Rattus norvegicus: one gene and its partners. Each later gene encodes a partner of the first gene's protein in a complex. Links are inferred from orthologs where the notes say so. Each region holds a gene or a part of one and is shown in the gene's direction. Other genes may lie near its edges. The genes, in order: Plxnb1, Arhgef12 and Sema4d.

Evidence for each region.
Region 2: the proteins of Plxnb1 (region 1) and Arhgef12 are in contact, whole or in part, in an NMR structure (PDB 2OS6), measured with the Homo sapiens proteins. The link is inferred for Rattus norvegicus from reciprocal best matches to the Homo sapiens genes PLXNB1 and ARHGEF12. Residues at the interface, in NP_001123554.1 of Homo sapiens: Glu2129, Lys2131, Val2132, Thr2133, Asp2134, Leu2135; in NP_056128.1 of Homo sapiens: Phe82, Gly83, Leu84, Thr85, Val86, Ser87, Gly88, Asp89, His127, Val131, Lys135.
Region 3: the proteins of Plxnb1 (region 1) and Sema4d are in contact, whole or in part, in a crystal structure (PDB 3OL2), measured with the Homo sapiens proteins. The link is inferred for Rattus norvegicus from reciprocal best matches to the Homo sapiens genes PLXNB1 and SEMA4D. Residues at the interface, in NP_001123554.1 of Homo sapiens: Leu80, Pro81, Pro82, Glu87, Arg136, Pro137, Gly138, Asp139, Thr140, Tyr142, Gly178, Glu202, Lys205, Ala207, Gly209, Arg210, Ser212, Glu213, Arg235, Arg242, Asp359, Val360, Asn361, Ser362, Leu367, Pro368, Thr371, Tyr375, Ser379, Asp380; in NP_001358123.1 of Homo sapiens: Glu99, Lys100, Gly101, Phe158, Tyr179, Phe181, Leu182, Gly183, Ser184, Arg198, Tyr201, Ile203, Glu208, Val240, Leu264, Arg265, Thr266, Leu267, Gln268, Lys270, Thr347, Gln350, Ser351, His352, Thr353, Asp388, Gln392, Lys395.

Annotation. Positions count from the first base shown.
Region 1 is NC_086026.1:118,630,419-118,639,791, forward strand, and holds part of Plxnb1 (plexin-B1 precursor), read left to right. Parts: intron 1-76; coding exon 77-177; intron 178-455; coding exon 456-588; intron 589-834; coding exon 835-991; exon of another isoform or gene 992-995; intron 996-1,267; coding exon 1,268-1,376; intron 1,377-1,484; coding exon 1,485-1,593; intron 1,594-1,998; coding exon 1,999-2,673; intron 2,674-2,848; coding exon 2,849-2,971; intron 2,972-3,151; coding exon 3,152-3,274; intron 3,275-3,579; coding exon 3,580-3,673; intron 3,674-3,759; coding exon 3,760-3,932; intron 3,933-4,076; coding exon 4,077-4,228; intron 4,229-5,419; coding exon 5,420-5,525; intron 5,526-5,696; coding exon 5,697-5,833; intron 5,834-6,200; coding exon 6,201-6,377; intron 6,378-6,565; coding exon 6,566-6,701; intron 6,702-6,883; coding exon 6,884-7,126; intron 7,127-7,740; coding exon 7,741-7,917; intron 7,918-7,992; coding exon 7,993-8,141; intron 8,142-8,784; coding exon 8,785-8,885; intron 8,886-8,973; and 3 more. UniProt on the Homo sapiens protein: Receptor for SEMA4D. Plays a role in GABAergic synapse development. Mediates SEMA4A- and SEMA4D-dependent inhibitory synapse development. Plays a role in RHOA activation and subsequent changes of the actin cytoskeleton.
Region 2 is NC_086026.1:52,249,872-52,259,244, reverse strand, and holds part of Arhgef12 (rho guanine nucleotide exchange factor 12), read left to right. Parts: intron 1-140; coding exon 141-308; intron 309-1,616; coding exon 1,617-1,704; intron 1,705-2,358; coding exon 2,359-2,445; intron 2,446-2,556; coding exon 2,557-2,636; intron 2,637-2,898; coding exon 2,899-3,132; intron 3,133-4,997; coding exon 4,998-5,471; intron 5,472-6,235; coding exon 6,236-6,552; intron 6,553-7,864; coding exon 7,865-7,934; intron 7,935-8,431; coding exon 8,432-8,442; 3' UTR 8,443-9,373. UniProt on the Homo sapiens protein: May play a role in the regulation of RhoA GTPase by guanine nucleotide-binding alpha-12 (GNA12) and alpha-13 (GNA13). Acts as guanine nucleotide exchange factor (GEF) for RhoA GTPase and may act as GTPase-activating protein (GAP) for GNA12 and GNA13.
Region 3 is NC_086035.1:13,645,488-13,655,479, forward strand, and holds the start of Sema4d (semaphorin-4D precursor), read left to right. Parts: upstream 1-5,293; 5' UTR 5,294-5,473; coding exon 5,474-5,579; intron 5,580-7,022; coding exon 7,023-7,168; intron 7,169-8,561; coding exon 8,562-8,624; intron 8,625-9,992. UniProt on the Homo sapiens protein: Cell surface receptor for PLXNB1 and PLXNB2 that plays an important role in cell-cell signaling. Regulates GABAergic synapse development. Promotes the development of inhibitory synapses in a PLXNB1-dependent manner.

The DNA of each region.
Region 1 (9,373 bases):
GCAGGAACCGGGACCCATATGTGGGTGGGGCACTGGCTCTCGGATTGCCAGCCCCAGGTCCTCTTTGCCGCCACAGCTTGTGAAAGTTCCTGTGGCCCCTTGTGCTCAGCACCTGGATTGCGACTCTTGCCTTGCTCACAGGGACCCTTATTGCGGATGGTGTGTGCTCCTGGGCAGGTTAGTGTTAGCCCGACCCAGGCTTGTGCCTCTGTAAGTGCCTCGTACAAGATTCCTCACCTTGTCCATTGACCCTCATCCTCTAGCCTGTGGGTAGCCAGCTCCCAGCTCTTTATCCCCTGCCCAGGGCTTTGGTCCACCATAACAGACGCAGGAGCACTGTTATCAACTCCGAGTGAGGGTTGTGCCCAGGGAGGGCCTCAGGACTAGAGGTGTGTCTGCTGTGTGAATTCTCGGTGGCTGCCAGCGGGTCACAGTTAGCTGCTGTTGCTTCTTAGGTGTAGTCGCCGGTCGGAGTGCTCAAGGGCCCAGGGCCCAGAGCAGTGGCTGTGGAGCTTCCAGTCGGAACTAGGCTGTCTTCGAGTGGTGGCCGTGAGCCCTGCCAACATTAGTCGGGGAGAGAGGAGGGAGGTGAGTGACCAGAGTGGACAGGGCCCCAGAGGGGAGAGCTGTGGAGATGGACGGATGGAGACCTTGGATTTTTTTGTGTCGTTGCATCAAATGCCACATGTCCTTGATTAGCCATTTCTCTTGGGCCTTGAATTTCTCTAATCTGCTATCAATCAAGGCGTTGGTAAGGGATGCCAGTGCCCTTACACGAGAGTCCCTAACCTACTATGCACTCGTGCCAAAGTGTGCCCTTGGCTTTCTCGGTAGGTTTTCCTGTCGGTGCCAGGCCTGCCATCTCTCTGGCCAGAGGAGTCATATTTCTGCTACTTTGGGGACCAACAGAGTCCTGCTCTACTGACCAGTTCTGGTGTGATGTGTCCCTCCCCAGACCCTAGTGAGGCTCCAGTGCTGCAGAGAGGAGCCGGTGGGTGAGAGAAGGGGCCAGCCCCGGACCTGGGAGCCCCACCCTGCTTCCATCTTGCTCTAAGAGGTCTTACTGGGATGAGAAATGACTCCAGAAATAGCCTTGGATGTGCTCCGAGTCCCCTGATTGGCTCCAGGACCCTGGTGTTTGTGCTGTGTCCCGTGGATTTTGTTCTCTGACCCTAGTTCCTGTCTCTATTTGGGGTGCCAGCCTCATTCCATGTGGATCCCCAGCCCTCCGCACTCTTCAGTTCTGGCTTTCTCCCCAACTTTGCAGACCATATCTCCGTGAATGTGGAGCTCAGGTTTGGTGCTGTGGTGATCGCCAACACCTCCCTCTCGTTCTATGACTGCATGGCGGTTACCGAGTTTTTCCCGTCTGCACCGTGAGTTCCTTAACTTACCTGTCCCCAGCTCTGGGCTCCCTTCTGTCAGTCTGTTTCATGACTGACTGACTGACTGACTGACTGACTGACTGACTGCACTGTATGCAGGTGCCGGGCCTGTGTGAGCAGCCGCTGGGGCTGTAACTGGTGTGTGTGGCAGCAGCTGTGTACGCACAAGGCCTCGTGTGACTCTGGGCCTATGGTGGCAAGCCAACAGGTTAGTGGGACTCCAGGATGAGGCACGTTGAGGGTGGAGCTCGGGGTTCCCGGGGCAAGGGTTTTCTACTGGCCTGGGATCTCTGTGCCTGCCAGCCTCCCACGAAGCTCTGTCCTGAGCACCCCAGCTGCTTTGTGTGGCAAATTCACTGGAGAATGGCTGCTTGTCCATCCCATCTGTTTTGGGAGGACATTTAAGCTGAGAGGCAAGAGGTGTGGCCTTGGTTCCCCACCTCAGCACAGACCTCCCCCCCCCCTGCCCTCTGTGTTTCTGCGTTAGAGAATTAACGGGATGTTTTTGTTTCTCTTTTCCTTGGTCTTTCTCCCTCTTAACATACCCTTGCCTGCCTGCTCCTGCACTTGCCTGCTGAGTGGCCCTCCTGTCTGTCTTGGCCTTCCCCTTCAGAGCCCACTTCTCCCCCTAATCCCTCCTGCAAGGGACGTACTCACCCCTTTCCCACTCACAGTCCCCAGAGCCACAGCCACTCCAACTCCCAACACCTTCCCAGCAGAGCCTAGGGCTCCCTCCATAGCCTCAGATGTCCTACCCGGGGCCAAGCCTTCCCGGCTCAGCCTCTGGGGCCCATGGGCAGGCCCTGGCCCCATACTTTCCCCTACCTCCACAGAGTCACCTCTCCATGAGAAGCCCCTCCCTCCTGAGCCCCCTACCACACCTGGAACCACTGTCCCTGCCCCCGCTGACCTGGGACCCTTGACCACGCCTGAGGACCTCTTGGCCTCCTACCCATTCCCCTCAGATGCAGCTGCAGTATCCCCCACAGAGCCTGGCCCTGAGACTCTGCCTTCCATGGTAGCTCTGGATCAGCCCCCTGGCACTGCTCCAGCCACCCTTTTCCCAGGGGCCACTGGCTCCATGAAGCCAGTTCTGGATTGGCTCACCAAAGGAGGCGGCGAGCTGCTCGAGGCGGAGGAGTGGATGGGGGGTGACACGCCCGCCTTCTCCACTTCCACACTCCTCTCAGGTGATGGCGACTCAGCAGAGCACGAGGGCCCTTCTGCTCCCCTCATCCTCCTGTCCAGCCTCGACTACCAGTACGACACCCCCGGGCTCTGGGAGCTGGTGAGGTCCAGCCCAGGAAGGAGGCCTCGGGAGGGGAGGGGAAGACACAGCCATTTGCTCACCCTGGGATTCTCCTTTGGGAGGGTGAGGACAGTGTTGCCATGGAGCCAAGCAAGGCAGAGGACTGAGGAGGTCAGGGTGGGAGCCACAGATGCCTCGCCCTTGGTGCCTGCAGGGAGAGGTGAATCAGAGGGTGAGCTCCTGCCCCTGTGTGGAGAACGTCCAAGGCTCCTTGCTGATACCGGTCCACGTGAAGCGGGAAGTCCAGCTTCGAGGCAGGAACCTGTGGCTCTTCCAGGTATGTTTGCCTATCCAGCTAACAACTTCCCCTTCAAGCTGCTTGGCTACTCAACAGAGTCTGCTCAGGTCTTAGAGAGCAGGAAGAAGCCATCCCCAGCCCCAGCTTTCTCTCCCGACTTGGGCTGCACTGTGGCAGGGCCTGTATTGCAGCCTACCTGAACATGTCCTCTGCCCCCAGGACGGCCCAAGGAGCAGTGAGTGTGTGCTGGTGCTGGAGGGCCTCGAGGTGGCAGTGGAGGCTCAGGTGGAGTGTGAGCCACCTCCAGACACATGGTGCCACATCAAGTGCCAGCAGCACCAGGTATGGAACATGCAGGGGTGGGCACAGGCCGGCCGTTAGCCTCAGATGCCGTGAACTTGTCGCAAGCTGAGCTTTGACAGTAGATGGAAGAACCCCAGCTGGGCCTCGTGGGGTCCCTGTCACTCGGCAGGGGGTTCTGTTCTCTAGTTCCATCACTGATCTCCTGCCCTTTCACCCTGGGATCCCTGAGTTCCAACTCTGACCTGAGACGCTGCTCCCCTAACTGGTCAATTTGGTCTTTTCTCTGAGCCTCACCCCAGGCCTGGCCCAGACTCGAAGCTCTGACTTCTCTCCTCTTTTTCCAGTTCAGCTATGAAGCTTCAAAGCCAGAACTCCAAGTGGGACTGTTCCTGCGCTGGGCGGGTGGTCTGCGTGTGGACAGTGCCGATGGGCTACATGGTAGGCCACCCAGGGACCACAGGGCAGGCTGCTGGTAGCGGGGCCCCTCGAGGCTCCGTGTTACATTTCGTCCCCGCTGTCTCCAGTGGTATTGTATGACTGCTCTGTGGGACATGGGGACTGCAGCCGCTGCCAAACGGCCATGCCTCAGTACGACTGTGTGTGGTGCGAGGGGGAGCACCCGCGCTGTGTAGCCCGAGAAGCCTGTAATGAAGCCGAGACCGTGGCTACCCAGTGCCCTGCACCTCTAATTCACTCGGTACGTCCCCTCTCTCCATCACTGCCACTCTTACAGGGAGGATGTCTGTGCCGTGGGTGCACAGAACTCAAGATGGGAGGCCGGGCTGCCTCAGACCACAGAGGCTGACAGGTAGGTGAGGTGAATGTTCTTGTCCTGGAACAGGTGGAGCCGCTGACTGGACCTATAGACGGAGGCACCCGTGTCACCATCAGGGGCTCCAACCTGGGCCAGCATGTCCAGGACGTCCTGGGCATGGTCAGAGTAGCAGGAGTGCCCTGTGCGGTCGATGTTGGCGAGTACGACGTCTCCAGTAGGTGAGCTGGTTGGCCCAACGTGGGAGGGCACTGGCTGCATGGCTTCCCATTGAGGACCTCCTTCCTCCATGCGTCTGCCTGCCTCTCTCCGTCTTTGATTGTGGTGTCAGTGCCTTAGTGCTGGGTTAGCATGGCCTGGAACTCTGGCTTGCTGTGTATATCTGCAGAGCCTTGACCCAGGCGCTTGGGGATCATGTTAGTGTATCGGGCAGAATCACTGCCTGGAGCCGGCTGGGGGCTCTTCTTGGATGTACTACGTCTCCAAGGCCTGCCCTGACTGGGCTCTCTCAGGAGAGGCAGTGGCGGCTGCCCTCCAGCAGGCCTCAGGTGAATAGAGAACATTCTCCAGGAGATGCTCATAACCAGCAGGACCCACACTGGCACAGTGTCAGGGTAACCCCGCACTGTACCCTCAGGAGGAGCTGTTGCAGAGCCCCATAATTCATATCTTAAACGGGGGATATTTTGTGGGAGCCTTCACTCTTCCTTCAGGGGTAACTGAGAACTTCCAGAACCTCTACACTGTTAAAATTCTAGAACCGTCAGACTTAGGTGATTCAGGAAGTGATTTATGAAGTGTAAAATGTATAATGGCTGGAGCCTCTCCCGCTAGTTCACCACTCGCTCTGCCTGCTGGTATTTGTATGACCGTGACAATGTTAACCACTGTAGACTTAACATTCTGGGAGTTCATGTGCCCCAGGCTTCTGTTTTCTGGCTGAGAACCAGCATTTTCTACATCTGTTCACATCTGCCTCCCTTCTGACTAGAGGCTTTTTAGGAATTTTCTGTTTAGGATCAGATTAAGTTCCCATCACTTCGCAAGTGGGCGCTGACCATACCGTGGTAGGGGAGACTTGGGGTGGCTGGTGTGGTCCTCTCACTCGCTCCTCTGCTTGACCACAAATCAGCTCTCCAGGTCTCCTTTGTAAACCTGTGTCACAGCAGGGAAATACACTCCTTGTTGGAGGGTGTGCCTGAATGACTGAACCAGGAGTGTGGCTTCTCGGATGCCATGGCTTGCCGGTGTGCCATAATGGGTTCCTTTCAAAGTGAGAGGGGGTGCTGACACATCTTATGGGGATAGGGACAGCAGAACACCTGGCAGTGTGGTGGGGAGAGGATCTGCCAGGTCTTTGGAAGGACATCCGCAGCCTGGCATTCCCTCACTTGCCTGTCTTGTGCCCACAGTCTTGTGTGCATCACTGGAAGCAGCGGGGAGGAGGTGACAGGCGCAGTGGCAGTGGAGGTACCTGGAAGAGGACACGGTGTCTCAGAGTTCAGCTTTGCCTATCAGGTGCCTGAATGCTAGACCACTCCAGCTGCCAGCAGGCCTCGCCCTCTGTGGACGGCTCAGGCTATTTAAGGCTTCATAAGGCTCCCCATCCTAGGGCTCCCTGTTTGTCTGAGGTGCCCTGGCTTCTGTCATCCTGATTTTGTCTGTCTTTCCCCATCTTTTTCCCCGTAGGACCCAAAAGTACTTTCCATCTTCCCAGTCCATGGCCCTAGAGCAGGAGGTACCCACCTCACCCTGCATGGTTCTAAGCTCCTGACTGGACGGCTAGAGGACATCCGTGTCGTGGTTGGAGACCAGCCTTGCCACTTGTAAGGGCTGATTTCTTTCTTTTTTTTTTTTTTTGGTTCTTTTTTTCGGAGCTGGGGACCGAACCCAGGGCCTTGCGCTTCCTAGGCAAGCGCTCTACCACTGAGCTAAATCCCCAACCCCCAAGGGCTGATTTCTTGTTCTACAAAATCCACACACGCCAGGGTGGAGATGGGGTACTGAGAACAGTCAGTGTGGAATGGGTTAATCTGCCCCACAAGAACATTTTAGCCAGAAACCAGGGCTGTGGTAGAAGTCCAGTTTCTGGAGCTACACAACGGGGACTTCGGTGGGCAAGGAACCTCAGTGAGCCAGATTCGAGCAGGTGCCTAGCTCCTGGATCTGGCCTATCTTCTACCCTCCACCCAGGCTCCTGGAGCAGCAGTCTGAGCAGCTACACTGTGAGACCAGCCCAAACCCTGTGCCTGCCGAACTCCCAGTGATGGTCTGGTTCGGAGCCACTGAACGGAGGCTTCAGCACAGCCAATTCAAGTACACAGCAGACCCCAACATCACCTCTGTGGGCCCCGCCAAGAGCTTCTTCAGGTGGGGGGCTGAAAGCATGTCTGGGAGGTCTTCGAAGTTCTCATCATAGGGGAGGTGGGGTGCTGGGAATGGGGACTTTGACCACCTTACTGTTGACCAAATGGGTCATGAGTGAAATTTGGGGTTGCAGCTGAGCTGGCTGGGTCTGAGCTATGCAAATCACACATGACTCCTGGGCTGTGTTTCAGTGGAGGACGAGAGATATGGGTCCGAGGCCAGAATCTGGATGTAGTACAGATGCCAAGAATCCGAGTGACTGTGATCCCAAGAGTACCACAGCATGGCCAGGGGCTTGGGCAGAAGCACCACGTGGTCCCTGAGAAAGTATGTGGGCCCAGAGCCATTGTCAATCAAATCGCATACCTATGAGCCTCTCTGCTCGCACCAGGCTGGCTATCTCTCCCCTCACCCAAGAACGGCCATGGGTTGTTGGTACCAAAGGAGATGCTTCCCAGCTTTGCTCAGCCTCACGTCTCACGCGGTGCCTCACTTGACCTCCTCTACAGATCGAAGAGCCATGTCTCGTGAACTCCTCCCACCTCATCATGTGCCGCTCGCCTGCCCTCCCTGGCCCGCCCCAGGACCCTTGGGTCCAGGTGGAGTTTATCCTTGACAACATGGTCTTTGACTTTGCTACACTGAGCCCCACACCCTTCTCCTATGAGGCTGATCCCACCCTGCGTTCCCTCAACCCCGAGGATCCCACCACGCCATTCCGGCACAAGCCAGGGAGTGTGTTCTCTGTGGAGGTAATACATCTTCTTGGGCTTTTCTCTAGGAGAACAGTATGTGTATGTTGGAGAGGTCAGGGTTGAAGGGACAAGCTGGGAGAATATGAAATGGTTGGTACAGCTTAGGAGCCAGCAGGCCCTGCAGGGGGTTGACTGGTGGCCTGGGTCCCTGGGCTCCATTAAGGCATCAGTTTGGTTAAGTAAATGGCTTGGCATATGGGTAGTGTGGTACACATTAGGTAACAGGCTGATCCTCATTTGGCAACTGGCCTACGTGGGTAACTCGAGACCCTTTTCATGATGTGCATGGTGAGTAGTCCGTGCATGTGTAGGCACATGGACAGGTCACAGGCAGCTGATCCAACAGCACCTCGATGAGGGTAACTCCGTTAACTGCCCAGGGTGTGGGGAACTCTTTTAGGTTCTCCAGCGTTTCAGCTGTGAGAAGAACGGTACTCGAGCACAAAGGAGTTATGGTGAGCAGACCATATGGTGAGCAGAGGTGGTCTAAAGGACACCTCTGACCATGGGGTCCACCCGCAGGGGAATCACGGCTAACAGATGGTCTCAGGGCCATCCCTCTCACGTTTGGGGACAGAGGCAAGAAACAAACCAGTGACCCGATGTTGCAGGGGGAGAATCTGGACCTTGCCATGTCTAAGGAAGAGGTGGTGGCCATGATCGGAGATGGCCCCTGCGTGGTGAAGACACTGACCCGGCACCACCTGTACTGCGAGCCCCCTGTGGAGCAGCCCCTGCCACATCACCATGCCCTCCGTGAGGCCCCCGACGCTCTGCCGGAGTTCACGGTCAGCGGGCAGGGCCTGGGCAAGGCTGGCACCATGATATCTGGGGCCCTGGCTCACGGGTAGCTTCCCACACAGGTACAGATGGGGAACCTGCGCTTCTCCCTGGGTCATGTGCAGTACGATGGCGAGAGCCCTGTGGCTTTTCCTGTGGCAGCCCAAGTGGGCTTGGGAGTGGGCGTGTCTCTCCTGGCTCTGGGGGTCATCGTCATTGTCCTCATCTACAGGTAGGGTTGGCCAGAGCTGAGAGCAGGGCTCTGCAAAGTGTGTGTGTGTGTGTGTGTGTGTGTGTGTGTGTGTGTGTGTGTGTGTGTGTGTGTAGAGATCTATTAAGATTTATTTTTATCTTATGTGCACTGGTGTTTGCCTGTATATACTTGTGTGTGAGGATGCCAAATCCCCAGAAACTGACAGTTGTGAGCTGTCGTGTGGATGCTGATAATTGAGAGCAGAAGCCACTAAGCCATCTCTCCAGTCCCACTCAGCAAATATTTTACATCAGGGATCGGACCTCTGGAAATGGTTGCAACAGGCCTGGTGGTCTCCAGCAATACTCAGTTCAGCTCTTGGGCCATCAAGTATAGCTGAGTTCTGACAACCCTGCTTTTAAAAATAGTTTGTGGACCCTATACAGCATGACCCGGGTTTGCTGACCCTATACAGCATGACCCGGGTTTGCTGACCCTCAGGCTGAGTGATGGATAGATGTGGTTTGATGGGAACGAGACAGGATGGATTGTTCTGGGTCAGGCTGACTTGGGCATGGTCAGGCAAGGTTGGGATTGGCCTGGAGTAGAGTTAAGCAGGCCTGAACCAAGTTGAGCCTAGAAAGGACTTTGGCCTGCTGACATTTCCCTTCTGCCTTGGTAGGAGGAAGAGCAAGCAGGCCCTGAGGGACTATAAAAAGGTGCAGATCCAGCTGGAGAATCTGGAGAGCAGTGTGCGGGACCGCTGTAAGAAGGAGTTTACAGGTGCGGCTTCTAGAGTGGGAGTAGCCTGGGGCTCTGCCTACAGCTGCCCTGCTCACATGGGATCCATGGACACTCTTCTACTCAACAGACCTCATGACGGAGATGACTGATCTCACCAGTGACCTCCTTGGCAGCGGCATCCCCTTCCTTGACTACAAAGTGTATGCTGAGAGGGTCTTCTTCCCTGGGCACCAGGAGTCACCCTTGCACAGGGACCTCGGTGTGCCTGACAGCAGGCGACCCACTGTGGAACAGGGGCTGGGGCAGCTCTCCAACCTGCTAAACAGCAAGCTCTTCCTTACCAAGGTGCGCTCCCAGCCTGGCTGCCCCATCCCTCTGTTCCTGCCTGCTGGCCTAGTCTCGCTGTCTGTTTCTGAACCTTCCCCCCTCTCACACTCTCCCTGGCCTTAGTTCATCCACACACTGGAGAGTCAGCGTACCTTCTCTGCTCGAGACCGTGCCTACGTGGCATCTCTGCTCACTGTTGC
Region 2 (9,373 bases), about 66 Mb from region 1:
AATGAACAATTAAAAATGAAATTTAAAGAAGATAGTTTGTAAATCTGTTTTTTAAAGTTAGCTAGGTTTTCCAGAAATAATTTCCTTTGTGGATTACTTTAAATCTCTGTACTTAGCAGTTTGTCCGTGTTTATTTCCAGATCTGTATACACTGCTGCTGGAAGACATTCTTGTGCTGTTACAGAAGCAGGACGACAGGCTGGTACTGAGGTGCCACAGCAAGATCCTGGCCTCCACAGCTGACAGCAAGCACACCTTCAGTCCTGTCATTAAGCTCAGCACAGTGCTGGTCCGACAGGTGGCCACAGGTGAGCGCGGCTGCCGCTAGATGCGAGCTCTGCCACGGGATGCGAGCTCAGCTGTGGATTCAGTGCGAAGCTGTGCAGGAATTTCACCCATGGTTTTGTTTATACGTGGAAATGTGAATGGAATTGTCTATTGGAAGTTTACACCTCCAAATTATTTGAGACAGCAAGGTTGCCTCACTGGTTTTCTGCATTTAAAAGTTTAAGTACATCAATTACTTTGGTATTTGTTTTATGTTTAAATTGATGGTAAGTACCAAGAAAGCTGTGAGTGCTTTAGGGGTAACCCAGTGACATGGCTGCCAGTGAATGGTGTGTTTGTGTGCTGGAAAACCGTGAAAATTGAAGAGGTGGGGGAATTGACTATTTTGTTTTAATTTAATTTTATTTTATGTGTATGGGTGTTTTGGCTGCATATATGTCTGGGTACCATGTGCAAGTCTGATGCCCTTGGAGGCCAGAAGAAGGCATGGGCTCCCCTAAAACTGGAGTAAACAGAGTTGCCATGTGGGTGTTGGAACCTAGGGCTCTTAACTATTGAACCATTTTTCCAGCCCTGAATTTGTTTTCTGATTTTTTATCTATCAGTCTAAGTTGGTAAGCCACAGTTTAACTGTATTCTGATGAGCTCCTTTATACAACTTAATTTCATGACAGCAAAATTTGCAAATGCTTTCCTGCAGTGTTTCCCAAACATTCTTAACAATATAGAAATATAGCAGTTTAAAACAAGGGATAGAATTGGGTTCAGTAGTATAGGTGTGTGTGTGTGTGTGTGTGTGTGTGTGTGTGTGTGTGTGTGTTCATATAAACATTTTCATTCAGAATTATAGGCTTGTTAGAACTCCAAAGCATGTTATGCTTGGGCAGGACTTAGTTTTTACAGGACAGAACTTTTATGAAGTCAGTTATGTTTATTGTTTGAGAATTTCATGTATGTCTATAATGTCAAGTTTTGACTAGATCAACTTTCTATTCATGTCCCTACTTTTCTCCCTTATCCCCTCCCTCCCTTGCTTTTCTGTCCCAAATTAACATGATCTCTCTTCACTTCAATCCCTAGAGTTCAAGTAATTTGAACTTTGACTTATTTTTGTTTCTAATTAAGTTCTGTGTTGACTTTTGTAAACATTATTTAAGTTACAATGTAGTTTACAGTAAATTGCATAAAATTTAAGTTTATAAACTTGGTCAAGCTTTTCAAAGTGAACATACATAATTTTTATCTAAATTAAGATGCAGAATGTTAATGCCTGTATGGTCATGGCTTGGCCACAGTAGTAGAGTAAGTTTTGTTTTCTTCTTTTCTAGATAACAAAGCTTTATTCGTCATCTCCATGTCAGATAATGGAGCCCAAATTTATGAATTGGTAGCACAGACGGTTTCTGAAAAGACGGTGTATGTATCAGATTTAATTACCCTTTCTAATTGATACTGAATTATCTGAAAAATAAATGTTCCACATACTTGTTTTCTTAAGATTTATTTCAGTGTGTGTGCGTGTGTATGTATGTGTGTGTGTGAGTGTGTGTGTGTGTGTGTGTGTGTGTGTAGGTGTAGCTGCCTGCGGAAGCCAGAAGAGGAGGCTATCAGAGCCTCTGGAGCCGATGTTACAGGTGGTTGTGAGCTCGCTGGGTGGGTGCTGGGAACTGAACGAATGGCCATCCACTGCAACTGCAGCAGGCTCTCACCACTGAGCCACCATTCAGCCCACAGACTTTCTATTATAAGAAATAAAGTACTTCCTCTTGTATCCTTTTGGGAACATTCCTCTAAGAATTTGTTTCTTTTGAGATTGAAGTTTTCATTTTTATTTTATTCTACTTAAAAGTAAATTTTGGAAGTTCCAAGTTAATCTTCTAAATGGGTAATGTGTTCATGTTGGATTTTCTTTAAAGTATATTTTAGGATCCCAACAAGAGTGTGCCAAACTAAAGATGTGCTCTGGCAGCACACGGTGTTTGGTTTTGTATTCTCTCTTTGGTTCTGAGAGTATTTACTGGGTGTCCTGCTTCCCTCCTGTGCTCTGCATCTCTTTCACACCCCCTGAAGCTGGCAAGACCTCATCTGTCGGATGGCCGCATCAGTGAAGGAGCAGTCCACAAAGCCGATTCCCCTCCCACAGCCGCCACCTTGCGAGTGAGTGCCATTATGCTCCTGTCGGGAAGACGTGAGCAGTTCACTTGAATGCCATGACGTTTGAGCATCTTCTAAAGCTCCGGGATTGTTTTCTTTTTCCTCTTTTTATAGAGGAGACAATGATGAAGAAGAACCAGCCAAGTTAAAAGTGGAGCACCATGATCTTTCTGTCGCTGGTCTGCAGAGTCCAGGTAAGCCACATAGACGAGTACACTGGGTGTAACACGTTACCTATTAAAAGGAAGTCTCTGTGCCGGCCCCAACCATGCATGTCAGCACATGCTGCCTCTGAGCCTCCCATGTGCCAGCATAGCACTGCTCTGTGCTGTGTGTCTCCCCAGCGGATGATGCCTGTAGCTTTTGTGGTTTCCCTCTGCCCCCGACATAAATGTTCCATGTTGAAAATGAGATGTCTGTTTAGGAATAATCTACGTTTTCTGCTCCACTGAACAGACAGAGTTTTGGGATTAGAATCTCCCTTAATTTCGTCAAAACCTCAGTCCCATTCAATGAATACCCCTGGCAAATCAGAGGCAGAACATCTCTTTGTGACCGCAACACAGTTTGCAAAGGAGCAGCATGCAAATGGGACCTTCAAGGAAGGTGATGGCGGGTATCCAGTCACAATCTCAGATCCACACTTGCCCGTGTCAGAGGAGCGGTGGGCATTGGACGCACTGAGAAATTGTAAGTTTTTTCATAACTTGTGAAGCTACTAAGTACCAGAGTCATATGATGTTTTGGGAAACCTTTAGAGAGAAAAAGCAATGCATTTTTATGGAAAATACACAAAAGTCTAACCTATCATTTTTTTTTCCTCAAGAAATTTACAGTCTTGTTGGGAAGATGATGGGTCCCCACTGCCACTTTAAAAGCAAATATTCCAGGAATAGTGAGGCTTTTGTGCATGTGTCAAATCTATCTGGGTGGCGTGGTCAGAGAAGGGAAGCAGCAGGTGGAAGCAGAAGGACATATGCCTGTCGTTTGAGTACGATTAAGATCAGGAGAAATGTGCAGAATAAAGCCGTTCAGACGGAACTGTTGGTAGGGCAGGACCACAGCGCGCTCCAGGCAGTGAGCCTGTGCACACTGTCAGCTGACGAGCACAGGAGACAGGTTTAGGAGTCAGGAAGATGAGCTGAGAAGTCTCAGTGTTGGGAGTTCTAAATACCGTGTTTGATGGACAGAGACGCCAGGGCTCTTAGGAGCTGTTTTAGTTTTATATTACACATGCCCTGCATTTTGTATGGAGATTGAATATTCCTCTGACAGCTTCTAACATGCATGCGCCCATGTGCACACACACACACCCCTTGTTTGCTGCCCCTCCCTACCTCCTCCAGCTTTGTTGGGAACCACTATTACAGACAGGAGGATAGCACATCTCGCAGATACACTGAGGTAGAGAAAGTCCAAGAATAGTTGCTCCAGCTACAGAGAACCACGTGAGGTTTTTTAAAGGTAGTTATGACTGACGGACAAAAATGTATTAATGTGACTGAGAGCTGCTCGGAGATTTGGATGGAAAGAGGCTTGGAGTAGCGTCCTTACACAGTCAGCTCTTGCAGTCGTTAGGTTCAGGCTAGAACAAGCACTGCATAAGGAGCTCTCCATCCTGAGAGCAGCTGACCTCTGTGGATGCTGAGGCAGAGGAAAGGGGTGTCTGCTGACAGTTTAAGTGCTTTCCTAGGAAGTAAGAGCCACACAGACCACTGTGCATCCTGCCTCCCTCACCGCCTTTCCTCTACAGTGTGGACTAGGAGCTCCAGATGAGGAGTGGCAAACCATCCCAGGGAAGTGGTAGTGGGACATGAAGTTTTAGGGCTAGCATTTGGGGTAGAGATTAAAGTGCTTGAGAAAGGGGAAGGTTTTCTTAGACCCCAGCTCTTTGTTGGAGAAACAGAAGGTAAGCCTGTGGTAGAATCAGGCAGTTATAGTTATTTAAAATCTCCTTTATTCTGCATTCTCCTGAGGAGACAGACTTACTGATGTCTGGTAGTTTGATGGCTTGGTCCTAGAACTGACATGATCTGTAGATGTTTGGCCTAAGACTAGCCCAAGGGTAAATTGGATCTTAGTTTTAACATCCTAAAGAAGCCATGCCATTAGTAAGGTAATTTAAACAAACAAAAACCTAATGAATACTTACCTTGGAACTTACACAAACTACTACCATATCATTGGGATTTCCTGTACAATTTCATTGCCTTCACCATTGAGAGAAAATGTTAGAAAAAATAATGCCTGTAAATACAGAGTCTGCTCTTGAGGAGAAAAGTATTTGCTGGCCCAGCTGAAGCAGAGCACATGCTTGATGTCAGATAGATTTGGGACTTCTCGGAGAAGGCCTCCTATTCAAAATGCACGACTCTTGTCAGCCGTATTTTAATGTTAAGTGTGTAGAAGATAGATTTTTGATTGCATGTTTCAAGGCAAAAAATGATTGTGTAGGATTAATATTAAGATGTGTCCTTAGTTTTAGAGGGGATTGGAAACTCAGCTGCCAGATTTCACTTTCCCCCTCTTCTCCCCTTCCTGCCCTAAATCTCCAGTGGGCTTGTTGAAGCAGTTGCTGGTTCAGCAGTTGGGGCTCACGGAGAAGACTACTCAGGAAGACTGGCGGTCCTTCTCAAGATACAGACCGGCTTCTGAAGAGGCACAGGCGGACAGTGGCATTCCGGACTTGGAAAGTGTTAAGGCTTGTCATGCCGGGGAAGGACAGATGTCTTTTAAAACTGGAACTGGTGATGTTGCAACTTGTGACAGTCCACGGACTTCAACTGAGTCCTGTGCTGTACAGGATTCGGTGATACTGGCTTCCCAAGACAGCCAGGCAAGCAACATCATAGAAATGGACCACATGCTCCTGACCCCAGAGGTGCCTACTACTGCAGAGCCAGAGGGGGGTCTGGATGACAGTGGAGAGCACTTTTTTGATGCCCGTGAAGCACATAGCGATGATAATCCATCTGAAGGTGATGGCGCAGTCAGAAAGGAAGAGGAGGATGTTAATGTGCGCATCTCAGGCAAGTGACGTTCAACTTCGATTGTGGTCATGGAAACTGTCTTATATGCTGGGATGGAGGTCGCTTCAGTATCTCAGGGGTGTGTGTGTGTGTGTGTGTGTGTGTGTGTGTGTGTGTGTGTGTGTGTGTGTGTTTCTTTATACAACCAATAGTCTATTCTTTGCCAGAAACTGTCATAGGGGCTGGGAGATTGGACAGTGAAAAATGCCAGAAATGTCATTGTTCCCAAGAAGCTTAAGTGCCTGAGGGGAAAGAGGGATGGTAAATAAAAAAGTGAGTGATAAACGTCAGATGGTCAGAAGCTTTAGGAAGCAAGTAAGGCCAGCTGCAGCCAGGGTAGAGAGTAGTGAGAGCAGACATGGTGGCCGGTCTGAGCAGGAGCTGAAGTGCAGGAAAGGCTGTGTGGATAGCTGGGTACAGTGTGCGGCAGCGAGCACTGCAGAGCATGCTTCTGTAGTCAGGGAGTGCGGGGAGGAGAAAGCAGCCCAGGAAAGGGTGTTTGGCAGGGGAGTGGTATTCATGTTCATGTAAGGACTTTGTGGCTAAGGTGTTAGACTCTTAAAACTCTGACTAATATGAAGTTATTTAGAAATTACTGTGAAAGTTCGCTAAGATTGGCTTTAATCCGAAGTAAATTCTGGTAGAGTTAAAACTAAACTGGAGAGTTGACGGTTCCTCCACCATGGTAGCTTTTCAAGTTGTCATTCTGGCCTCACTCTGGTGGCAGTGCTAATCTCATCGAACTGTCTTATGTCAACCAATAGGAAACTGTTTGATCCTTGATGGCTATGATGCAGTGCAGGAGAGCTCCACAGATGAGGAGATTGCCTCCTCATTCACCCTGCAGCCTGTGACAGGCCTCCCTTCTGTGGACTCCAGCCACCAGCAGCAACACTCCCCTCAGAATGCCATTTCCGAGGGGGCGATTTCACCATCCACCCCAGAATTCCTGGTCCAGCGACGCTGGAGAGCTGTGGAGGATGCTTGCTCTGAGGTCCAGAGTCCCTCTGCTTGGACAGATTCACAAAGCCAAATCCTGGAGTACATTCATAAAATAGAGGCTGACCTGGAACACTTAAAGGTACGTCCCATTTCAGCCTCCGAACCCTTGGTCCTAAGAACACAGTTGGCAGAGTACAAGTTTGGATTGATGGGATCCTGTGTCCAAAGGTGGTCTGGGTTCTGTATCTGCCCGTTTTCATCTTCTTTAACCATTAATCATGAATAGGCCTGAGTGAAAGCTGGCGTTGACGTTTGTCTTGTGACAGATCGTAAGAACAGGAACATTGTAGGTTTGTACCTGGTTCCTGGTTTTGGGTCTCCACGTTTTAAGATCCCAAATGCCGGGGCAGTCTTTTCCATCCTGTGGGTGATGCGGACTGAGGTGGGCAGGCTCTCAGCTGGGAACCAAGGCCAGGAAGTGCTGTGACTGTTGTAGCCCGTCAGTCAGTTACAGGTACATGGCAGGGAAAAATTGATTCCAGTGGCTTTTGTCACCAAAACACGTGAGCCCAAATGAAGCTTTTGGGAATTGGTAGTGAAAGACATTACTGTGCTAGTTTTTATGAAGGGGACTCTTTTTTTTTTAATTGAAAATATATTATTTTCATGCAATATCTTCTGATCATGGTTCTTCCCCGTCTCCCAATTTCTCCCAGACCCTTCCCACCTCCCCACCTGTTCAGCTCTGTGCCCTTTTTCTTTCTCTTTACTAAACATGTAAGCAAGTCAAAAAAGACAAATGAACCAGAATAAAATCCAACAATAACAACAACTAAAAAGAAAAAGCATATCTCTCTCTCTCTCTCTCTCTCTCTCTCTCTCTCTCTCTCTCTCACACACACACACACACACACACACACACACACACACACTCCGTAACAACATAAAATTGGAGACCGTAGTGTAGAACCAGGGAAAGTGAGGTAAAGGCATCGGCTCTGGACGACGCAGCTGCCAGAGCTTCCTCTTCTTCATGGCATCAGTCAGGGCTAAAAAAGGCCCCTTAGCTCAGGGCTTGTCTCCCTTAGCTTTTCTCAGCTCCATGTAACAGATTTTTTTTTTTTTCGTTTAATTTCACATATGTCATTATGTGGCTAGCAAGGCAGGGTATCTAGGCGGCCTCTGTGTTCATCTGTCACATGATATGGGCCTTTCCTGGGTGACGTCTGCCGTGAGCAGACCACCTTCCCTTGCTTCCCCAGTGTTTTACGTGGAGAGGTAGGTCACTTATTCAAAGGAAATTGGCCTCTCCTAGCTAACAGAATCTTTAGTGGTTATTGTTAATGTCGAAATTGGGGGTCACGTGCCTTTAACAAGGAGAACTTTCATTCCTACCATCAACTAAATTTTATTTCCTTGTGCCATCCCCATGGAAATCTTTGGTGTTACAGAAGGTGGAGGAAAGTTACACCCTTCTTTGCCAAAGGCTGGCTGGCTCAGCCCTCCCCGACAAGGTCTCAGGTATGTGAAATGGTGGGCTCATCCCGACCAACAGTACATTGGATAATTTATTATTTTTCAACATGAAAACCCGAGATTTTATTCCTGTCCTTAAAAATCAGCTTGTTTCTAAGCATCACGTATCAAGTTTGCTAACTCTGCTCTTCTTGCTCTCAGAAGAGCTGTGGTTGTCAGTCCCTGTGCCAACCCTTGTCTCTCTCTTCGCCTTTCCAAGCTGAAGGCAGAGTGAAGGAGCCTGGTAAACCCCAAACTCAGTAGAACCCAGGCTGCTACCGCTGCCCCTTCTCCCCCCAGGAGCCCTGTTGCACTCTGCCCTCCTGACACTAAGGGCAGCGTGGCCCCTGGCTGAGGCTAAGCCGGTGTTCAGTTCATACTCTCTGCTTGTGTGCTTTGAGGTTACATCTCTGAACAAGTGATCTCTGAAGAAGTGAACAAGACATGTTCTTCACAATGTTAATTTGCTCTTAATTGAGTTTCCACGTCTTCTTCCTTCTCAGATAAAAGTTAGAGCCCCGTGTCCTGGAGGTGACTGCAGGTTTTGGATTTTGAATGTCGGCCCTGTATCAACCACATCCCGGCTCCAGTGGACACAAAGAGAGTGTGACAGAGGATCTGCCTGGAACCACCTGGGCTCAGCCACGCCCCAGGGTGCCCCCAGTGGGACTAGTTCTTCATTCTGGCAGCTGCACACATCTGTCAGTGAGGGAATGTCAGGTCTCTCACTCTCCTCTCCTCACTATCAGAAATGCATTTTGATTCAGAATAAAAACCAAATGTATAGAGCTTTGGGTGTAGGATATGAAATTGTACGTAGGTAAGAAAAAGAGAAAATCAGATGTATTTATTTGACTTCATTCCATATTTGAAAGCACACTTTAATTTTTACTTTGCCTTGTTTTGTTTTTAATTGAGTAGTGAGAGTTTTTGCCCTTTGTATTTAGCACACCCAAGGATCAATTGTTCCTGAAGCCAAGGTCAGGTCGGTCAGGGATGGAGAGGTTAGTAGACAGGCAATGCAGAAGAGGAAAGAGGACTACCTGGCCCTCACTAACCTGTAACCCCGCCCTCCTGTCCAGAAGGCTGCCTTCCTGAGGGTCATCTCAGAGGTGCCGCATGACTCCTGTGTGTGGATGACACAGCTCTAGGGTTCCACCCCAGGAAACAAGAGTCCTCAGTACACTAAATGGCAGGCACTTGAAAATGGGTGTATCCCTTGTTGTTGTCTGTTCTGTGGATAGTTGGGCTTTGGGAGAGAAGAAAACAAATTTTTATTTTCTTGATTATAAATTTGTTATTCTTGGTATTGTTGCATTTGTATAATTACGCGTTGACTGGCACTTGTATGAAATATTCCCTGCACAGTGAGCAGGAAATAGGAACAAAGAAATGGAATGCTTCAGTGGTGGTGGGTGCTGCAGAGGGGTGGGGTGGGCGGGAGA
Region 3 (9,992 bases), on another chromosome or scaffold:
TCTTCAGGGATCTGGAGTCCAGGGAATAGTCTGCCTTATCACATCCACATCTACTCAAGATCCCCAGTGGTATTTGCCACCCATGGTGCTCAGGAGGGTACCTGAAAGTCTGTGTAGCATCTTGTCTTGTGAGCACCTGATGGTATCCCTTCTGTGATCTGTCCCCGCTGTCAGGTCCCAGAGAGGAGCCTTAAGTCTAAGACACAGTACACACACACACACACACACACACACAGAGGGAGAGAGGGAGAGAGGGAAAGAGAGAGAGAGAGAGAGAGAGAGAGAGAGAGAGAGATATCTAGGTGCATATCTGCAGATGCACGCACACACAAACATGTAGACCTGTGTGTTTGCACACACCTGCAGATACATAGGTATGTATGCACATGTGAATGCATGCATTTATGCTGTTACATACAGAGATAACATTTAACTCAGCATTTTGCAGGTGTGCCCATGTACATATACATATAGACACACATGGCATCTGTGCACACACATGTGCATGGGTGGTGTCGCTGGTTGATACGCTGACACAGATGCACACAGCTCCGTGTGGACAATGTGTGTGTGTGTGCACACTCAACACAAGCATACACAGGGCCCTTAAGGCCATTAGCATTCTCAGGCCTGAGCTGGGTACTCACAACTCTTTGACGGTGCCCTGGCTGGGGTTGGTCCTGTTTTCAGTTGCAGCCCCTGCTGAGATTTCCAAGATTTGCTGGAGGGGAAGAGCTGCCCTCTGACAGGCTGCAGGGAGGGGCCTCAGCTCTTTTTCCTGGGTTTAGAGTAGGCAGTCTTGCCTCTTAGTGTAGTAATGGGGCCTTCATGACCCTGTCTCTAATGGATGTCAGGCCCTCTTCTGGAGGGCCTCAGCTGTCACAGGGAGACCTGAGCTTCCCCTGGGGGAAGGGTGTTGGATCCCTTTGTTTAAATTTAAACACTGAGAGTGAGGTCCTGAACTTGGCATTCGAGGATGCCTGTGGAGCGTTCCTGGAAGGCACTGTGGCAGCCTGTCTGTGTGGGTGTGGCAGCCGCATTGTTTAAAGTGAGTTTTAAATTACACCAAACAGCGAGTTGTGTAGAGAAAAAAAGGAAAAAGAGAAAAAGAAGTCAAAGCCTAACAGTCTTCTCCCCCTTCCCTCTGCTTCTCAGTTCTCCCTCTCTGGCCTCTTGCTGTCCCCAGGGGCCTGTTTTAAAGAGTAGCAGGGTGTAGGCAAGTCTATCGCCCTCTAGTGTCTGCCCATGAAATTACTGTGCTCTGGATGATGGGGTTGGGTCTGCAGGGCAGGAACCCATAGCTGAAGTGAGCACAGCATGGCGGAGCTTGTTCTGTGCTTCAGCCCGGGGCCCCAGTGAACCCCACAGTTCCTACTTTTAGTCCAGACTGGCAGAGAAGTTTGCTGGCTACCACTGAAGGCCAGAGGTGGCATGGGATCCCCTGGAACTGGAGTTTCAGATGGTTGTGAGCTGCCGTGTGGGTGCTGTGAGAAGGAAGGCAGGTTTTCCATCTACAAGAGCCACAATTGCTCTTAACCTCTGAGCCATCTCTCCAGCCCCAACTGGTGCATTTTATACCTTCTATCTGAGGGCAACCCCAGTCAGACGACACTGGGCTGGAGAGATGGCTCAGCGGTTGAGAGCACTGACTGCTCTTCCAGAGGTCCTGAGTTCAAATCCCAGCAACCACATGGTGGCTCACAACCATCTGTAATGAGACCTGCTCTCTTCTGATGTGTCTGAAGACAGCTACAGTATACTTACATATAATAAATAAATAAATCTTTAAAAAACTGTTTTCCTTAAAGAATTGTTTTAACCTTGTATCCTGACTTTTTCACTCCAGGCACAAGCTGAGGCCCCTTGTCTTGCAACTCCACCCTCCCACCCTACCCTCCTAGTAAATGTATACCATCCCCTCCCCCAAACCCTCATCCCCTTTAGTGACTGAGGATACACACTGGGCCAGGATAGCACATTCTGATGACATTTCCACTATGGGCCATCCTCTCTTCCCCTGGGGCTCTAATTGCTCCATTTTGAATGTGTTGGGTCATTCACTCTTAGACTGAGGGAGGAGGCTGGCCCAGCTTCTTAGCCCCGTTGCTCAGGGCCCAGCCTTTGCAGCGGATAGAATGAGACCCTTACTCTTTTATGTTCACCGAAGGGCTGTTAGACCTCCAGACTTCTGGTCTGCGTTTCAGATCGCAACATCGAGATGAGCTTAGGGTCAGACTGCTAGTGTTTTTATTATCACAGTTAGCCTAGTTCGTGGGATGGTTTCCGCGTAGTTCCCACTTAGATTTCTTTGGCTAGAAGCGGGGTAGCCTACAAATGTGTCGAACGGGGCAGTCTGCCCACTGAAGGAAGAAAGCTCAAGGTCTTGTGACCTAGAATGAAGCAAGAAGCCACCGAGGCAGGAGGGGGCCAGGCTGGGTGGGTGAACGTGCTTCTAGTGTCCGGTGCCTTCCTTGGTCTCCCATCCACGTGTTTGGCTAAGTGAGGGAGTGTGTAGCATTTCATCCTGGGTCTTGGGGATGGGTGTGTCTGGTGACACTCACAGTTCTGAGAAGGAAGAGGTTAGGGTTCTGTGTTGTTGCTGCTGAAGATGGACTTTCGGGGTAGCCCTTCTACACCCTGCCCAGCATGTACATTCCTGTATTTCTCAGCTACGTGGGTCACCGAGTCTGTGAACCACCCCCTGCCCTTTCACCTTATGGTGGGGCATCCTGACTAGCGGCTTTGTGCGTCTGCCAGCTCACAGGTTCAGGGCACTGTGTTGGGTCTGGTGTTGGCCAAAGCCCTTTTGGTCTGTTAGCCCCTGGTTCTGGACTCTTCTTTCTTGGTGTCTTACTTGGCCATGCCCCACTTCTTTACCAGGACTTAATTAATTAATTAGTTTGTTGTTAATTAATTTTAGTTAATTAACAAAATAAATAATTAAATTTTGAGCCAGGACCTCACTGTGTAACCGGGGCAGGCCTGGGACTCACTATGTAGATAGAAACCTGCCTGCCTCTTCCCCAGAGATCTGGGATTAAAGGTGTACACCGCCACATCTGGTACGCCTGCTTGTTTGTCTATTTGAGACACAGTTTCAGTTGTGGCCCTAGCTGGCCTGGACTCATATGTAGACTAAACTGGCAGTGAACTCACAGAGCTCCCTCTGTTTTATGATTAAAGGCCTGCACTGCCACCAAATTAATTTTGGAAGAACGGCCTTCTTTCTGCTTTGTATTTTTAAATTTTATTTCTGTAGCCCAGTCTGGCCTCAAACTATGTAGCTAAGGATAACTCTGAACTTCTCTTTCTTCTGCCTCCACCTGCTGGTGTATCTCTGTGCCAGGATTTATGAAGTTCTGGGAACTGAGCTCAGGGCTCTGCGCGTTAGAAGCAAACATTCCACCAGCGGAGATATCTACCCAGCCCTGAAGGGATGTTTTATTAAAAATGTTCAAGCGGGCTGCACAGCGGAATGCGACTCCCCTACCTGCACGACCTTGGCTGGCGACCTTGCCTGGTGTTCAGCCTTCTCTGTTCTCCCCATCCTCTGCTTCCATCAGGGCGATCTGAGGAGGGAAGAAGCATCCATCCCATGCTACCTGATCCTCACAGCTGGAACCGCGTGCACCCAAATCAGAGGGCCTCCTGCCTGTCACAGCTCCCTTGTTCCAGTCATCTTCAGTTTCTGCCAAGCCCAGGGTCTTCTGGGCTTAGGCCTGTGTCACCAGTGGCTCTGTACCCAGGGGATGCTTAAGATCAGGGTGACATTGCTGTCCTGGCTTTCCTTAGCACTGTGGATGCTCAGTGTTGGAGGGAGTTGGTGACCATGGCTTTAAGAGGATTCTCATGGCTCTTACGTGGCAGGGTGCACCATGAACTTGCTCAGCAAAACCCAGAGTTCATAATTGTCTGGGTCACTGCTGTCTGTTTCCCAGTCACTGCCTCAGTTCTTGGCTTCCTGCTTTCTGGTTGGATCCGGGTAGGAGTCACCCCTTGTGCTTGGCTGCTGTGAATTTCCAGGGTAGGACAGGGACCAGACCTACCCTTGTTAAACCATTGCCTATAACTGGAGTCACCTCTTTGCATGTCACCTGTACCTGCTTTTCAGCTATAGCAATAGTTAAGGAAAACGGTCAGCTGCACTGGCCTAGAATATTCCACTCCTTGAAGGATGGAGGGGCTTGGGCTCTTTAAGAAGCTTCCAAGATCCATTGGGATAGCAGCCAGACAGCCTGTCAGGACTGCACTTGAAGACAGGAAAGGATAGGGCCCTGAGTGGAGATGCAAGAACAGCTGGCCCTGCCCTCTGTGGGAGGAAGGGTGGGGCAGGGGAGGCCTGGCAGGTGGGTAGATGCTGTGCCAGCATTGGGTCCACATCTGGAGACTGTTGTGCCCTGTCAGCTCCCAGTAACCACACCCGAAGGTGAGGCCTATCTGTGTATCAGGGCAGCTGGTGTGATTCAGCGCTGAGCTCTGCATCCTGGGATCCTGGTGTGTGCTGGGCCTCAGGCTTGACGGGGGCAGGTGAGGACAGGGACAGAGGCCCAAGAGACCCATGGCCACAATTCCATCAGACAGCCAAGCCTGGTCTGGTCTTCTGTTTCTTGTTTGGACAAATCAGAGTTAATTGCTAGTGTTTCCATGGTAATTAACGTCTTCCTGGTGAGACAGGAAGAGCTCGGGTTGCCTCCTGGGCTAGCTGGGTCCTTTGTTGTGGCTAGCTACTCCTGCAAACTGAGGCCCTGAGGGCATGTTTTCAAGGGTATGAAGGTTAGTGTGTGCTTACATTACATATGTGTGTATGTATGTATGTATATATGTATGTATGTACATGTGTGCATTTGTGTATGGCTACACGCACTTGTGTGTGTCTACCCATGCATGTACATTCTTACATGCATTCTCAGGCACGCGCCCTGTCCTGCAATCCTCTGATGTTTGATAATTTTCCTGGGTTAGCGTGTCAGAAATTGGGAAGAGAGCCCTCCAGGGAAACTGAGACCTATATTATTCCTTTCACTTGTGGCATGTCACCAAGCACCTGGCTGTCCCTCTAGCCAGTTATTTCCATATTGGTGTGTTTTAGCCTTGTTGTCTCTCTACAGGATCTGGCTGGCTGGCAGCCCCACAAGTCCTGGATGCCTTCCATGTCCCTCAGCGGGCAGGTTCAGACAGGATAGGCCGTAGGAAGGGATGGAGGGGACTGAGAGCCTTCTGAAGCTGCCGTGACCTACCGTCTCGTCATTTCCTTCTCTTGCAGGTCGGAAGGGAACAACGCCTTTGGCATGAGGTTGTAAAAGTGGCCTTTGCTAACCTGACATGTGGGGACTCAAGAACCCCACTCCCTATGGGCTCCAGTCTGTGCTGCTGGCCCCAGCTCTGGGGCTCTGAGAGGTTCCTGCTGCTACACCACAGCAGCCCACTGCCATTCATGTGTGTCTGTTGCTGAAGGCCTCGGTGGCCCCTGCCCATGAAGATGTGTGCCCCCGTCAGGGGGCTGTTCTTGGCCCTGGTGGCTGTGTGGAGGACCGCGGTGGCATTCGCCCCTGTGCCTCGGATCACCTGGGAGCACGGAGGTGAGTGTGAAAGCCGTAAGTGCCCGCAGCTCTGGAGAGTGTGGGGGTCCCTGCTTTAGATGTTGTGTGTGTGTGTGTAGGGGGGGGTGTCTGTCAGGGCAGGTTTAAGCTGCTGAGATGTCAGGAGGATACTGTGTGAGGAGGAAGCCCTGGTGGCTGCTTCAGGCCCCACAGCAGGTGCCAAACTTGAGTTAGGATATGTGACGTCAGCAGCTCCTAGCTCACTGGATGCTGACTACATGCCCGGCACTTGAGCTGCACTTCTGAGATTACCACAGCCTCAGAGAGGGCTCCAGGATTGGGGTGGGGTGGGGTGGGGTGGGCACTGGCTGTTCCACGATCCAGGGAGGGAGCAGTGTGAGGATGGAGTCCAGGAAGTAAAGGGCAGTAAGAATGCCCACCTCAAAGCCACCTGGACACTCGGGATTCATACTCATAGGCAAGTTCAGAACTCACTGATGCCAGCGTAATGCGGAGCTCAGCATCACAGCAGGAACCTCCACACTCAAGATGTAGAGGCAGGAGGGCCGTGAGTTCCAGGCCAGCCTGGGCCACATAGCGAGACCCTGTCTTAGACAACTAGTATCGTTATTTCCTTCCCGTGGTACCGTGTTCCTAAACTGTTGCAGGTTCAAAAAAAAAAGTGTCGTTTGTCTCTGGAAATCACTGGTAATGACTAGAGATTGTTTTGGAGAGACATGTGTTCTCCCATCTTGACTTTTCTTTGGAAGTTCTAAATCATTATATCTTTCTAAACCTAAAGTGGAGGGTTAAAAACACATTAAAGAGGTAGAGTGTAGACCAGGTGCCTTAGTAAGGGTTTCCACTGCTGTGAGCAGATACCATGACCAAGGCAACTCTTGTAAGGACAGCGTTTCATTGGTGCTGGCTTACAGGTTCAGAGGTTCAGTCCATCATCATCAAGGCAGGAGCACGGCAGCATCCAGACAGTCATGGTGCAGGAGGAGCTGAGAGTTCTACATCTTCATCTGAAGGCTGCTAGCAGAATACTGGCTTCCAGGCAGCTAGGATGAGGGTTTTAAAGCCCACAGCCACAGTGACAAACTTCCTCCAAAAAGGCCACACCTCCTAATAGTGCCACTTCCTGGGCCTTGCATATTCAAGCCACCGAATCAAGTGTCTGTGATGTGCTGGAAGCCTGGTGTGAGGGGTCTGGAACTCCACAGGACCTGGGAGACAGAAAAGGAGATCGGGGTATAGCCTAGGGATGCCTGCCAGCCTCAGGGCCCCAGCCATGGGCTAGCTCCTCTCTTGCACTTGGTGGCTGCATTGAGATTACCTGGGGGTCCTGAGCTCTGCTCCATGTTTAGCAGCATCATGCGGTCCCTAGGACAAGTCTGGTTCTGACAGTGAGGTGGGACCGGGTGCGTACAGGCTCAGGGTGACTCCTGGGTTTCCCCCTCCCCGCTTTGCTGCCCACAGAGGTAGGTCTGGTGAAGTTTCACGAGCCAGGCATCTTTAACTACTCTTCCTTGCTGATGAGTGAAGACAAAGACACTCTGTATGTGGGTGCCCGGGAAGCTGTCTTTGCAGTGAATGCGCTGGACATCTCTGAGAAGCAACATGAGGTATGTCCTGCAACTTCCCAGCCATAGCCCTGTGGGTGGGGCTGCCTTGCTGTCCCCCATCTCCCCACGCCCTTCCCCCCCCCCCCATTCCCAGTCTGCACAGGTCTGGCTCGACCTCCACCAGGAAGCTCAGCTAGGCTCTTTCTATGCTATGTCAGAGCTGTGTTGAGTAGTATGCTATCTGGTCCCCTTTAAAAGGAGGAGAGAGTAACTGAGGCTGAAAATGACTAAAATTCATTCTGTGCATGTGTCAAACTGTCAGGAGAAAAATTAGGTCGAGAAGGGTCTGAAGGGATGGCTCAACAGGTAAAGACATGTGCCACAAAGCCTGATGATCTGAGTTCAATCCCCGCTCCTCCCAACACACACCACATACCACACACACACAGACAGACACATACCCCACACACACACATACACACACATACACACATACCACACACACCCCACACATACACACATACCACACACCACACACACACACCACACACATATACACACACACCACACACATACACACACATACCACACACACATACACACACATATACATACCACATACTACCCACTCACCTCCACATACCACACACACACACATACACATCATGCCACACACACATACACACCACATATACACACCATACCACACACACATACACACCACATATCACACACACACACACGCATACACACACACACACACACACAAAGATAACTCCCACAAGCTGTCCTTGCACCTCCCTTGTGCACACTCACACGTCCACATCTACACATAGTAAAAATGTGATAGAAATGCAAAATAACAGATGAAAGCCCCCGATTTTGGATAGGATTTAATTGGTTATACTTTTATTATATGGAGTCAGGGATCATAGGATGACAACCTTGGGCGTCTTTCCTTTGGTGCTGTCTACTTTTATTTAATTTTTTTTTTTTTTTGAGACGTGGTCTCTTGGTCTCTGGAGCTTGTCAAATAGGCTGGCAGCCAGCAAGCCACAAGGATCCTCCTGTCTCTGCCTCCCCAATGTCCAGTGCCACAGCTGACCTTTTCACATGAGTTGTGGGGCTCAAATTGAGGTCCTCGTGCTAACTGGCAAGCACCCACTGAGCCGCCTGTCTCTCCTGCCCTCTGCTGTTTTGTCACAAGCTCAGGGCTGTGTTATCCCTGCTGGTTTAGGGATGATGGTCACAGAACATGAGGAAGCCCTAGGGATGACTCTGAGATCTCAGCCCCTACCCGCTCCCTGAACGTCTTGTCTTCCTAGTCTGGCTTTCTTCTGGCTGCAAACCAGTGTGCCCTGAGCTGTGGGGTGCCTTCTGTTGTCTGTTTTATAGCAGTTCCTTTCCCAGTGGGGCTGCAGTGAACCGGCTCTGACATGTTCCCCCCTCACAGGTATACTGGAAGGTCTCTGAAGACAAAAAATCCAAGTGCGCAGAGAAGGGGAAATCAAAGCAGGTGAGCACAAAGAGCTCGCCCGCGCACACGCACATTTCGCAGTTATTTGGATCTTTCCCAGTACTGTGACTTCTTTCTGCATGCCCACCTGGTGTCACGTGATTCTGGTGGGCTCGGTCCTGTGGCAGCTCTCCCTGAGCCCCGGCGTCAGGATGGATGCTCTCGGGCCAGTGCTCTGTCTCCTCAGCTCTGGAGAAGCCTGTTCAAATGGCCTGGCATTGTGACTACAGGATACGTCCTGTAGTTTCTGCTGCCCGCTAGGACCTGGTGTGAAATTGGCCTCCCCTCTGTGTTTCTGGGCCTCTCACACATCTGCACCAGCCGTGTGAGGCCTAAGAGGTTTCAGGGATTTGATGGGCATCAGAAATGAACGGTGTGTTGTTGTTGCTTGGTTTTGTTTTGTTTTGTTGTTTTATTTGGTTTGTTCTGTTTTTGTTTTGTTTTTGAATTTTGTTTTCGGATATCCGTGTGCCCACTCCGGGAGACTGAGCCTTGTATCCCTTTTCTCAGGAGCTCTGGGTACCCTCTTGTGCCCACCTGGTGCCCCACAAACGTCCCAGGTGTTTTTTTTTTTTTTTTTTTTTAAGATCACAAATGTTTTTAGATCACAAGAGCCAGGTTGTCACTGATAACGATCTCGGTGGCTCAGCGATGGCAGAGTTTGTCAGTTCTTAGCTGATTTCAAAAACAAAGATTCAAACAGCCGCTCACAGTTTGTTTTTTCTAAGTTAAACTTTCTTGGCCGAATGCTCACTAAGCACTTTTCACCGCCCCTGCTGGTCTCTAATTGGGGTGTTAACTGGGGATCTGAGGCAGGCAGGCAGGCGTTATGATGGGATGACTGCTGCAGGCAGTCTGTGTAGCCAGTGAGCGGATGCTTTACACCGCAGCGCGCACGTGGGGACCCACAGTGAACTTGGTAGGGAGCCCTCCTGTGAATGATACCCCGTCCATTTGAAAACAGTTGTTGGGGGGGACAGACAATAACAACAACAACAACAAAAAAATCCTTTTCCAGTTTGAGATCATTTCAGGCTATAGCCCATGCACTCTAAGCACTGCTCTCTTAAAATAGCACGTAGGTTCCAAATTGTCATCTTTGTTTTCCCACCGGGCCCTCGGGGATGCACACTTGGCCGTCCCCTTGGGTCCAGCCTCTCTCTCTTAGACCCTGCTAGTCGCTATTTCTAGTTCCGTGCTGGCGACAAGAGTATAGGGTGGGGTCCCCAGGAAGGCCGAAGGAGCCTGTACAACGTCTGTTTTGGTGAGATGGCCATCAGAAATGAACGGTGTGTGTTCAGCTAGGGTAACTACATGGCCATTTGTAGTGGGTTCCCCGGTACAATTTGAGGGTCAGCTCTGGTTTGG